3 linked regions of the Sus scrofa genome follow. The protein of the gene in region 1 purifies or fractionates together with the protein of each later gene. This does not show direct contact. Links are inferred from orthologs where the notes say so. Each region holds a gene or a part of one and is shown in the gene's direction. Other genes may lie near its edges.

The links.
Region 2: the proteins of ARHGAP12 (region 1) and ASAP1 purify together in Homo sapiens (co-immunoprecipitation; 3 studies listed by BioGRID and IntAct, with this or other methods). This does not show direct contact. The link is inferred for Sus scrofa from reciprocal best matches to the Homo sapiens genes ARHGAP12 and ASAP1.
Region 3: the proteins of ARHGAP12 (region 1) and TJP2 purify together in Homo sapiens (co-immunoprecipitation; 3 studies listed by BioGRID and IntAct, with this or other methods). This does not show direct contact. The link is inferred for Sus scrofa from reciprocal best matches to the Homo sapiens genes ARHGAP12 and TJP2.

The regions. Positions count from the first base shown.
Region 1 is NC_010452.4:42,472,752-42,476,398, reverse strand, and holds part of ARHGAP12 (rho GTPase-activating protein 12), read left to right. Parts: intron 1-266; coding exon 267-389; intron 390-2,687; coding exon 2,688-2,789; intron 2,790-3,647. UniProt on the Homo sapiens protein: GTPase activator for the Rho-type GTPases by converting them to an inactive GDP-bound state.
Region 2 is NC_010446.5:10,442,746-10,446,392, forward strand, and holds part of ASAP1 (arf-GAP with SH3 domain, ANK repeat and PH domain-containing protein 1), read left to right. Parts: intron 1-2,365; coding exon 2,366-2,844; intron 2,845-3,647. UniProt on the Homo sapiens protein: Possesses phosphatidylinositol 4,5-bisphosphate-dependent GTPase-activating protein activity for ARF1 (ADP ribosylation factor 1) and ARF5 and a lesser activity towards ARF6.
Region 3 is NC_010443.5:222,523,474-222,527,564, forward strand, and holds the start of TJP2 (tight junction protein ZO-2), read left to right. Parts: upstream 1-1,278; 5' UTR 1,279-1,452; coding exon 1,453-1,533; intron 1,534-4,091. UniProt on the Homo sapiens protein: Plays a role in tight junctions and adherens junctions. Acts as a positive regulator of RANKL-induced osteoclast differentiation, potentially via mediating downstream transcriptional activity.

The DNA.
Region 1 (3,647 bases):
GAAGGGAACACAGGTCTGTGTAAGGTAAGTTGTGTAAAGCATTTACTTTAAAAATAAAACATGAATTTACCTAATAACAGCATCAGAAAATACTCTGAAGTAAATTCTGGGGCCTTTGGAAAAGATTGTGGAAATTCAGCTTTGCCTGTGTTGTGTGGCTTGCAGTTGTGTTGTCCTATCTGGTTCCATTATGGTTTTCTCATGTATGTCATGTTGCCATTGTGCACTATAATGACATCGTCATTTTCTTCCCTTTTCCCATCAAGTCATTCTGCCATCAGGGCTCAGTCTCTGAGCTCCTGCTCTCGCTGCTTTCTTCTTGGAAAAACTCTGTCAGCCGCCGGCCTGCTGTCGCATATGTAAAATCTGATCCTGTTTCCGCTGTCACTGTATGTGTTCTTGTTGCATGTCCTTTGTCACAGTAATTCTGTTTTCTTTGCTGTGAATGCATCAAAGTGATGATTACATGGAGAAAAGCAGGACTAGATTTTCAGAAATAATGGATAACAAACACAGAATTTTGCCAGCCATATTGAAGCATTTTTACTAGCATTCCATGTCACGTCATTGTATTTGTATTTGGTTGCTATAATTTATTGGTTGGTCACTGATAGCTTAGCTTTATAGCTAACCATCTCCAGAGCATGTCATGAAAAATTAAATTGATTTTTATCATTTTGTTAAATGTATCCATTGAAATTTTATAACTTTGGAGTAAATTGGCTCAGAAAGTTATCTGTGCTTATCATAGCTTTATGATGAATTACGTGTCTTTTAAATGGCAAAAGGTACTAAAGATGGCAAAGGCTTTGTAGAATTGTTAAAATTTTTATTATTATTTTTATTATGATTCCACTAATAAAATTCCTGGAATATCCTAAATTTGATTTCGATTCCAGTAATAAATTCCACATAATATCCTAAGTTATAACAAGTATATTATGTAAGTTTACACTGCTAGCCAAAAAGATGAATTAAAAGGAACAGATCAAGTTGAACCATTTATTAAATGTGAAACTGTGGAGTAGTCCTTGACATTATGAATAATGAATAATTTATCTCAATGGGTAGGATCCATTTCCAATGGCAAACAGAATTTGACTTGAAAATATTTTGGCAAATGAAATTTCCGGTATCAAATCTTTATGACCTTAAAGATTACAATTTATCAGCTCATAAAGATTTTAAACCTCCTGACCCTACAATAACATTGGGAATACTTATTTTCTCAGCAAACAGACTAAATAAAATTTTAAGTTATAATGGCAAGATATGGAGTAAGTCTACATTTAACATAAGTTTTCTGCCATATGCTAATTTTTCCTTATCTGGCTAACAAGATATAATAGCTAACTAAGTGCTTTTTCTTCTCAAACCACCCTTGTCAACTGTCTTCCTGTTGTTATCACAGTTCCTCATTAAATTGCTGAGGCTTTAGAGCATCTGGCTCTCATTTTTATTTCTAACAAAAGCTGAATAAAAGAACCTGGGGGTTAGAATTTTGTTTTTACAAGTTATTGTTAGTTGTTGACAACTTAAATTGTCAATAAGGAAATAACTCTTGAAAGCACAAAATCAGGTTTAGAGAATGTTTATTAGGTGGAAAAAAATTCTATCAGGTATTATTTATACATATGTAAGAATATTGCCTTTTGACATATCATTTGACATAGTCCTAGGTAGTTTAGAATAAATTCCAAAGAATAGAATTGCAGAACCAAAGAATACATGTGTTGATACATTTGTAAATAAAGTTATTGCCAGGGAGTTCCCGTTGTGGCTCAGCAGGTAACCTGACTAGTATCCTGGGTTCAATCCCTGGCCCCGCTCAGTGGGTTAAGGATCCAGTGTTTCTGTGAGCTTCGGTGTAGGTCGCAGACAAGGCTCGGATCTTTCATGGCTGTGGTGTAGGCTGGCAGCTGCAGCTCTGAATCGACTCCTAGCCTGGGAACTTCCATATGCTACACGTGTGGCCCTAAAAAATAATATAAAATTAAAAAATAAAGTATTACCAATTTTTTCCTCTCTTGGCATACCAGTTTATACCCCACTTGCAAATGAGGGCCTATTACTCTACAGCCTCACCAAGAGAGTTTTTCAGCAAACTTTATTGTTGTTGTTGCACTAATGGGGGAAAAAAGATTTTAGTACTGCTTTAGTTTGTATTTTTTAAAATAATGATGGGTTCTGAGCCATTTTGTTTCCTTTTCTATGAACTGTATACAATCATGTCTTACAGACAGTTTTCAACTTAAAATAGGAATTGTTATTTTGTAATATAAAAAGAGAGGAAGCGGAGTTCCCGTTGTGGCTCAGAGGTTAACGAACCCGACTAGGATCCATGAAGATTCGAGTTTGATCCCTGGCCTCGCTCAGTGGGTTAAGGATCTGGCACTGCCTTGAGCTCTGGTGTAGATTGCAAATGTGCCTTGGATCCTGCATTGCTGCACCTGTGGCGTAGGCCAGCAGCTGTAGCTCTGATTGGACCCTAGCCTGGGAACCTCTGTATGCCACTGGTGCAGCCCTAAAAAGCAAAAAAGAAAAAAAAAAAAAAAGGGAAAGGAAGCATTCTAGGTGATCACCTGTTTGAGTTATTACTAATAATATAAAATTGGTCTTAATTCTTTTTGGATACACATATGTGCATGAATGTAACAAAAACGTTTTTCCTTTTTTCTCAAATGAAGTTTGGGAGTAATCAGTCCAAACCAGAGTTCACAGTGGACCTCAGAGGGGCAACAATTGAGATGGCATCAAAGGATAAATCCAGCAAGAAGAACGTATTTGAGGTAATTTTTTTTCTAAGTGTAGTTCACATTCTTAACCATAGTGATTGTATGTTTTATATTGAATTATTTTGGGAAATTGTCTTCTAGTATGACTCGTTAAGGCCAAGTTAGTCATAAAGTCAGTTTGTATCATAATTCAAGGAAGAAAGCTTGGCTTCGGATCTCAGATTATATCTTACCTGCCTTTGTTCCACAAGTCTTGCTTTCCCCAGCAACAATAAAAGGATGTGGTCCCCTTTACCAACAAAATTTAATATTAAAAAACAAATTCAGACATTTCCATTTGTCATAAAAGACCATCCACAGTCATACACAGTCCTCTGTCAGTTACTTGTTGCTGCCTGAGGAGAGAACCATTTGTTGGCTCAATTTGGCCTGTGCTGAGCCGAGTGGTTCTTCTGACCTCATGCGGTGCTGTTCATGGGGCTTCAGTTGTCCAGCAGCGTGAGGGGCCGGATGGCCTCGTTCCCATGTCCACTGTTGGTGCCAGCTCTTGGCTGGGCTCCTTCTCACTGGATCTTTTTTCCTCAAGGAGGTGACCCCAGTCTTCACATGTCAGTTCTAAAATGGCCAGAGTAGGGACTGTAGAGCTCCTGCTGCTGCTGCTGCTTTTTTTTTTTTTTTTTTTTTTTTTTTTTTTTTGGTCTTTTTCGGACCACACCCTTGGCATATGGAAGTTCCAAGACTAGGGGTCGAATCATAGCTATAGCTGCCGGCCTACACCACAACCACAGCAATGCGGGATCAGAGCCGCATCTGCGACCCACCGCACAACTCGCAGCAATGCTGCATTCTTAACTCACTGATCGAGGCCAGGGATCGAACCTGCATCCTCATGCATACTAGTCAGGTTCACTA
Region 2 (3,647 bases), on another chromosome or scaffold:
TCTGACCACCCCCCCCCAAACTTGTTCGTCACCCAGCGTTTCCCACCTGATGCAGGCGATGCTGCCCAGTGCAGGGCTTGGGCCTTAAACCCTAAGGGAGAAGCCCAACCCCTTCCTTTCTCACATGAGCTTCCACACTGGCTTCTCCCTCCACCCTAATGTCCAGGCGCTTCTCACTGTGTCCTCCGCTCACTGTGGCCCCGGGGACCGTCCTCCCTCGTCTGGATTCTTTTTTTTTTTTTTGTCTTTTTGTTGTTGTTGTTGTTGTTGTTGCTATTTCTTGGGCCGCTCCTGCGGCATATGGAGGTTCCCAGGCTAGGGGTCCAATCGGAGCTGTAGCCACCGGCCTACGCCAGAGCCACAGCAACGCGGGATCTGAGCCGCGTCTGCAACCTACACCACAGCTCACGGCAACACCGGATCGTTAACCCACTGAGCAAGGGCAGGGACCGAACCCGCAACCTCATGGTTCCTAGTCGGATTCGTTAACCACTGCGCCACGACGGGAACTCCCCCTCGTCTGGATTTTTACAGTGCACGTCTAGACTGCCTGCTTCTCCCCGGGCTCCACAGCCTGTCCCCAACAGAACAGCCAGGGTCATCCATGTTACATCAGGTCACTCCTGGCCCATCCAGCCAGTGGTTCCCTGAAAAACAAGGTATATTTCTGAGCCGCCTCAGCTGGCAGCAGAAGGCATCGGGGATGCTGAGAGGGCCAGTGCTCCTGCCCTGCCCTGCCCTCCCCCCCACCCCTCCGCAGCACCTGCCACCAGCAGGACTCTCACGTGGACTGTCCTGGCCACATTCCACTCCTTCTCCCTCCCAAACATCACCCGTTTTTGAGCTCCTTTGGGCACCTCTTAAAAGGCTTAATTAAAGCCTTCTCATCTAGGGATCAGCAGCACAGAACCCTTTTTTTAAGTGAGTTTTAAAAGGAAATATTGAATTTTTTTAAAAAATGTCTAGTCACTTACGGAGCATGATAATGTGAGAGAATGTATGTGTACCTGGATCACCATGCTGTACAGTAGGGGGAAAAAATTGTATTGGGGACATAAGAATTAAAATCAAAAAAAAAAAAAAAAGAAATATTATAGGAACTTCAAGGGATCTTTCAACCTGAACAGCGTCTCCATGGTTCTGCGCTGCGACCCAGCTCACTGGTCCCTTACATTCTTCTGCATCTGTCATCATGGTGAAAGCACGGTTCTGCATCATAGGTTTCAACATGCGTATTTCTCACGTGTTCGTGAGCTCTTTGTGAATGTCGTCAGGCCCCTTGCTCTTTGGCTAATTGGGCGCCATCCCTGGCCTTGGCACCCCCTTTTATTGGAAATGTGTGCTGCGAGTCCTTCTCTGCCTCCTCCTCGGTTCTGTCCGTAGAGTCCATTTTCAGGAGCAGAACCACTGCAGCCGAAGGGAGGGCCTTCTCGGCAGGCCCCATTCTGTGCCCCAAAGCTTCTCAGAGGACCGAGTCCACTTGTCTCACCTGTCCTGCCTGTTGATCCAGCTGCACCATAACCTCCGGGGACTGGGGAGGGGCCGGAATTCTCACTCCTTTTTTATTGGTGGTGTGCCTCACTCTGGCAGCGTGCTGCTTGGTGTCATCCAGCTCTGGGGGGAAGCTTGCTTGTCTGCCCTTCAGAGTTAATGCAGTTCAGGGAGTTTCCATTGTAGCTCAGCGATAGTGAACCAGCTGGTATCCATGAGGATTCAGGTTTAATTCCTGACCTCACTCAGTGAGTTCAAGGATCCAGCATTGCTACCAGCTGCAGTGTAGGTCACAGATGGCGGCTCGTACCTGGCACTGCTGTGGCTGTGGTGTAGGCCGGCAGCTACAGCTCTGATTCAACCCGTAGCTTGGGAACTTCCGTATGCCCTGGGTACAGCCCTAAGAAAAAAAGAATTTTATTAATATGCAAATATTCTTGCTAAAACAGTGTATAGATAAAAGCAGATAACTGTTTTATTTGTGCAAAATATATAGAAAAGTCCAGAAGGAAATACATCAAAATACTTGAAATGGCTACATTTAGGCAGTAGGCTTATGGAAAACTTTAATTATACTTTTCATTTTTTTTGTAATCTGTTTTGTGTGTATAGTTGTGGGGTTTTTGCTTTTTCTTTTTTTTTCAATTCTGGATTAAAAATTTGGACATCCTGTTCTTGTATAATGGAGACTTAAAATCTTCTGTTGTAATGTGTTTACCTCCCAGGCTTCCAGCTCTTGACCTGTTTGCAAACAGGCCTCCGTGTGCCTGCACGGCGCTCCCTCTGGGTGGGGTCCCCTCTGTGTGACCCTGAAGGGGGAGGAAGGCAGGGCATCCCCCATCCAGTGACCCCTCTTTCTGGTTGTTTCCTGCAGTGGCATTAAGGAAAACAGAAACCAGCCATCATCTCTCCCTCGACAAAGCCGGCGTCCCGCCCGAAATCTTCCAGAAATCATCCCAGTTGGCAGAGTTACCCCTGAAGCCACCACCTGGAGACCTACCCCCGAAGCCCACGGAACTGGCTCCCAAACCCCAAATTGGAGACTTGCCACCTAAGCCAGGAGAGCTGCCCCCCAAGCCGCAGCTGGGTGACCTGCCCCCCAAGCCACAGCTCTCAGACTTGCCGCCCAAGCCGCAGATGAAGGACCTGCCGCCCAAGCCGCAGCTGGGAGACCTGCTGGCCAAACCCCCGGCGGGAGACGCCTCGCCCAAGGCTCAGCCCCTGGAGCTCACCCCCAAGTCACACCCGGCAGACCTGTCCCCAAACATCCAGAAGCAAGCGTCCGAAGACGCCAATGACCTGACGCCCACCCTGCCCGAGACACCTGTGCCGCTGCCCAGGAAGATCAACACGGTAGGTGGGGCACGGGGCCTGGGGGTCAGGAAGCAGGCTGGCCTCAGGACCTGCCCTCCCTGTGACCGCAGGGCCTGGGCCACTTACTCCCATTCCGTGAGCCTCAGTCTCCTTATGTGCAGAACAGAGCTGAGCCGGTGCCTGAGGTCATGGGCAATGAGGTGCAGAGAGGCCCAGTAAACACTCAGCTGGTGGCTGCCCTCCGGGATCCTGGTCCCCGGGAGACAGTGCCCTCGGGTTTTGAGCCTCTCCCACCTGCTCCCTCTCCTAACATCTTCCCGGAGGAGCTGAACGCAAAGCCCAGAGATGGTGCCCCAACAGAGAACTTGGCTGAAGTCTCCCAGTTTTACTGTTAACATAAATATGCACAACCCCCTCCAAAAAAAAACAAAAAAAACTTGTTTTTTTTGTTTTTTTTTTTTTTTTGGAAAAATGAAGCCCCCGGGAAGATGCAGGAGTGTGGTCTGTCCTGCCCAGGGCCCCACTCCCACAAGGGCCCAGCACCTGGGTTGAGGAGCACGGTTAGTTGGGGGGACCAAAAGCCTCTGCTCACAACCTCTTCCTCATAAAAACAATGCTGCAGTAAAAGGGTGTCACTTCGGTACTGAAGGAAGAGTGAGGAAAGTGGAACCCTCCTGCCCGGTGGGAGACGGTGTGCACGCCCCTTGCAGCTGCTTCGTCTCCCCAGGGCCATCCCCGGATGGCCAGGCACCACCCACAGCCCTGACTGCACGGTGTTCCAGTGTGTTCGACTCCATGTTTTACCATTATAGTATCTCATTTAACCCTTCCTGTTATAAACA
Region 3 (4,091 bases), on another chromosome or scaffold:
TGGGAAATATTACTCACAGTGCTTTTTATTCAGAGTCATGCACTTAGCTACTCCAAAGGAGGCCAGAAGCCTAACACTTTCAGAGAGGCATCTGCTGGACTTGTTTTTCCACATAAACTGCCAAACTTGTTTTGATTAGGCAGGAAGTGAAGCAACTTTTTAGGGAGAGAGCCGGGCATCTGCATTTCGTCAGTGGATCCATTTTGACCTTTTACCTTTTACCTTCTTGGGAGCCTGGGCCGAGTTTTGCTTTTCAATTTAGAAGAGCAGGATGGCCACATTTTTTTTTTCTTACAGTGTGGTTTCCTTAGAGTCCAAACCCAAAGTTTTATTTTTTTACATCAGTGCACCTGTCTTGATTTTCCAAATAACTTACATTACCTTAAAACAAGGAAAAAAAAATTTTGGGGCTGTGCCCTTGGCATGGGATAGGGACAGAGCCACAGCAATGACAATGCCAGATCCTTAACTTGCTGTGCCACTCTGAGAACTCCCCAAATAAGATTTTATTTATTGTGCACATTTCTTCGTATAGAGGACTCTAAAACAAATAAATGTACTGAGTTGAATTTGATGAATCCTGCCTGATAAGTATTTGTAACCTATTTTTCAAAAAAAAGCCTTTTAAAAGCTAGTGATGAGAGAGGAGTTTCCATCTCTTTATTAGAGTTGTTGGAAATGTGCCAAAGAGATAACCTGGCGTATATTTCCCTCAAAAATCATGTTTTATTCTTTAACATGAACATCTTATACCCTCGGAATTCGGGGAATTGTTGAGCTGAAAAACCTGGGGTACAGTGCCCTGTGTTGCCAGCCTCTAGGCAAGACAGCAAAAACTTCGGGGTTTCCCGGGTTCTTCCTTTCGGAAGAGAACCGAGGAGGGGGCGCTGCAAAAGTCTCCAAAAAGCATTCTTACAGGATCTCTAATGGGAGAACCTGCTGACTAACTCGCCACCCCACACTTACCGCTGCAAGCAAACTTGCAGCGCTTCCCTCGCACGCGCGGGGCGGGAGCGGGACCTGAGGCCCTGTGCATGCCGCGGAGCGAACCATCCGGCCGGCCGGAGAGGGGGGAGGTTCGGACGTGGGGGGCGCGGTAAGCTGGGGCCTCGGTGTCTGCCTGTTGCCTCCACCCTCTTCCGTCCCTGGCGGGGAGTCGCGCGAGCCCGAACCCTCGGTGGGGACTTGAGGGGCGCGGCGCTGGCAAGCCTTCCCCCGGGCCGCGCGGGGGTGGTAGCGGCCCTTTTCAGAGTTTCCCGGGCCGGCGGCCGGCGCAGAGGCGCTGCCTGCGGCCGGGGGCGGGCGGACGCCGCAGCCGCCGCGGCCGCGGGAGGAGGGACAAAGGGGTGGGTCCCCGTGGGGCCGTCACCCAGGCAAAACGCGGCTGACGGACTGAGAACTGACCTGCCGCCCGGAGTATCAGGAGGAGCGGGGCTCGGGACTGGTGCGTCCATGAGAGACCCGCGCCCGAAAATGCCGGTGCGAGGAGATCGCGGGTTTCCACCCAGGCGGGAGATGTCAAGTTGGCTCCATGTAAGTGCCGTCTGGCGTCCCGCTCGGTTGGGAGAAGGGTCGCGAGGAGAGAGCTTAGGAGCGCGTGGTGGGCTTCCCGGATGCGCTGTAGGTGGCTGGGATTCTTCCATCCGGAGGTGGAGTTGAGGGCAGGGAGTAGGTTTCGCCGGCAGAGGTGCTGGGTCAGGGCCTCCAGGATTCCTGAATCTTTTTCTCTGTTCTATGAAGTCACTTGGTTTTCAGTCGCGAGTAGGGGAAACTCTCTTGAACTCTGTTTTGGATCCCTGCTACCTTTGAGGCATCTCGTTGAGCTTGTTATGTCGCCTGTTGTTTGCTTTTGAGTTTTCCTTCTTAGTTTCAAACCAGTTATTCTGTAATTGATGCAAAGTTAGAGCATGTGTGCATGAGACGAACTGACGACTCTTTGGAGATGGGAATCCTCATTTTCCCTTTCAATCTCTTTTAGTCGGCAGTATAAGTAAAAGTTATTTGTGGCAGGGAATGGAGATAGGGTTTTGGAGGACCCCCCAAAAAGGGAGTGATGAATACTTTGTATTCTGGTATTATCTTACCTGTCACCAGTTCCTTTTCTTTTATGTTTTCATTTGTCAAGTTTCTGCTTTACACAGTAGTTTAAGTTATAAATAATCAGGGTTTTGCCTACAGGGTTTTAACATTCTTGAAACGTGGATGAACTTGGGAGTGAATACTCCAGGGCTTAGTAATGGAATACAACCCTCCCACCTCTATTTTAGCTTCAATTCCGAGGCAGTGCTGCTTCCTTGGCAGCTGTCTGGCCTGAGTAATGGTTGTGGTTTTCCAGCAGTTCCCAGTGGAGTCTCATCCCGTGGTAGAAACTGCCCTCCCTTCTTCAGCTAGGGGAATCCCATCACAGAAGGAAAGCGGCCCTTTTCCTTCAGATCTTTAGATGGTCTGTGCTGGAGGTGCTGAAGGTCATGCTGGGAGAACAGGGTCATTTTTGTCAGGATTCTTCCTGGGAAAGACAGTCTACATGCATACGTGGGAAGCAGATGGTTTTCATTTTAATTGAGGAGTTAGTAGTAGTGATTGCTTTTGCGCCAAAGTGCCAATTATTATCCTGCCTAAAACAATGAAATTGGTTGTTTAATACATTTTTATGAGCACCTTCATCTCAGTGTGGAAAATAGAAATGTTAAGAGTGTGCTTCTACCAACCACACTGTCTTGTTGGGGAAACCTGTAAATGATGAAGACTGATAGTTCCAGTTAGAAATAGGGACAGGATGCTGGAGTTGCTTCTCTCTGGGGAGCTGAGAGAAAGGAGTGTTTTACTAAGGCAGTGGTGGCTTTTGAGTTGTATCTTGAGCTTTTTCAGAGCTACTGCCAAAGATTGATGAAGGGGGATCCCCCCCCCCAGAATGGCTGCTGCAACTTTTTTAGGACCGCGAAGTTAATAAATTAATGAGCACCCACCTGTGCCCGGCCACTGTTGGGGAGGTGGGGGTGTGAGGTGAGTAAGACTCAACTTCAAGAGTCTGTTTGATCTGAAAATTTTAGATGTTTTTTGGACTGCAGGCTCTCTCTGCTGTGGCTAAAGGAGGGAGTGTGCTGCACAGATGCACACTGTGCAGTACAAAAATACAACAAAGTGTGGGGTCTTCCTGTGCACACTCCCTTCAGGGATTCTTTTTTTTTTTTTGTCTTTTTGCCATTTCTAGGGCCGCTCCAGCGGCATATGGAGGTTCCCAGGCTAGGGGTCCAATCGGAGATGTAGCTGCCAGCCTACGCCTGAGCCACAGAAACACAGGAGCCAAGCCGTGTCTGCGACCTACACCACAGCTCATGGCAACGCCGGATTGTTAACCCACTGAGCAAGGGCAGGGATCGAACCCACAACCTCATGGTACCTAGTCAGATTCGTTAACCACTGCGCTGTGACGGGAACTCCCCTTCAGGGATTCTTATTAGGAAGAAAGTTCAGGAGTTCCCGTCCTGGACCAGTGGAAATGAATCCGACTAGGAACCATGAGGTTGCAGGTTCAATCCCTGGCCTCGCTCAGTGGGTTAAAGATCCGGAGTTGCTGTGAGCTGTGGTGTAGGTTGCAGATGCAGCACAGATCTGGAGTTGCTTTGGCTGTGTAGGCCGGCAGCTACAGCTCTGATTAGACCCCTACCTAGCCTGGGAACCTCTAGACGCCATGGGTGTGGCCCTAAAAAGACAAAAAAAAAAAAAAAAGTTCACTATTTGAACAGATACCTCACAGGGTAAGCCAATATAGAAGATGAGGTTAACAACACACCTCACAGAGTTGAATGAGGATTGAGTGAAATGACGTAGGGAGCTTGGCCTGTAGTGGGTGCTAAGTAAACAGTAGCTGGTACAGTCATCCCACGGTGTCCTGGGGCAGGGGAGGTTCCAAGATTCCTCTAGGATACCAGAAACCTAGGATACTTAAGTTCTTTATCTAAAATGGCATAGTGGCAGTTCCTCTCGTAGCTCAGCAGAAGCGAATCTTACTAGCATCCATGAGGATGAAGGTTTGATCCCTGGCCTCACTCAGTGGGTTAAGGATCTGACATTGCCATGGGCTGTGGTGT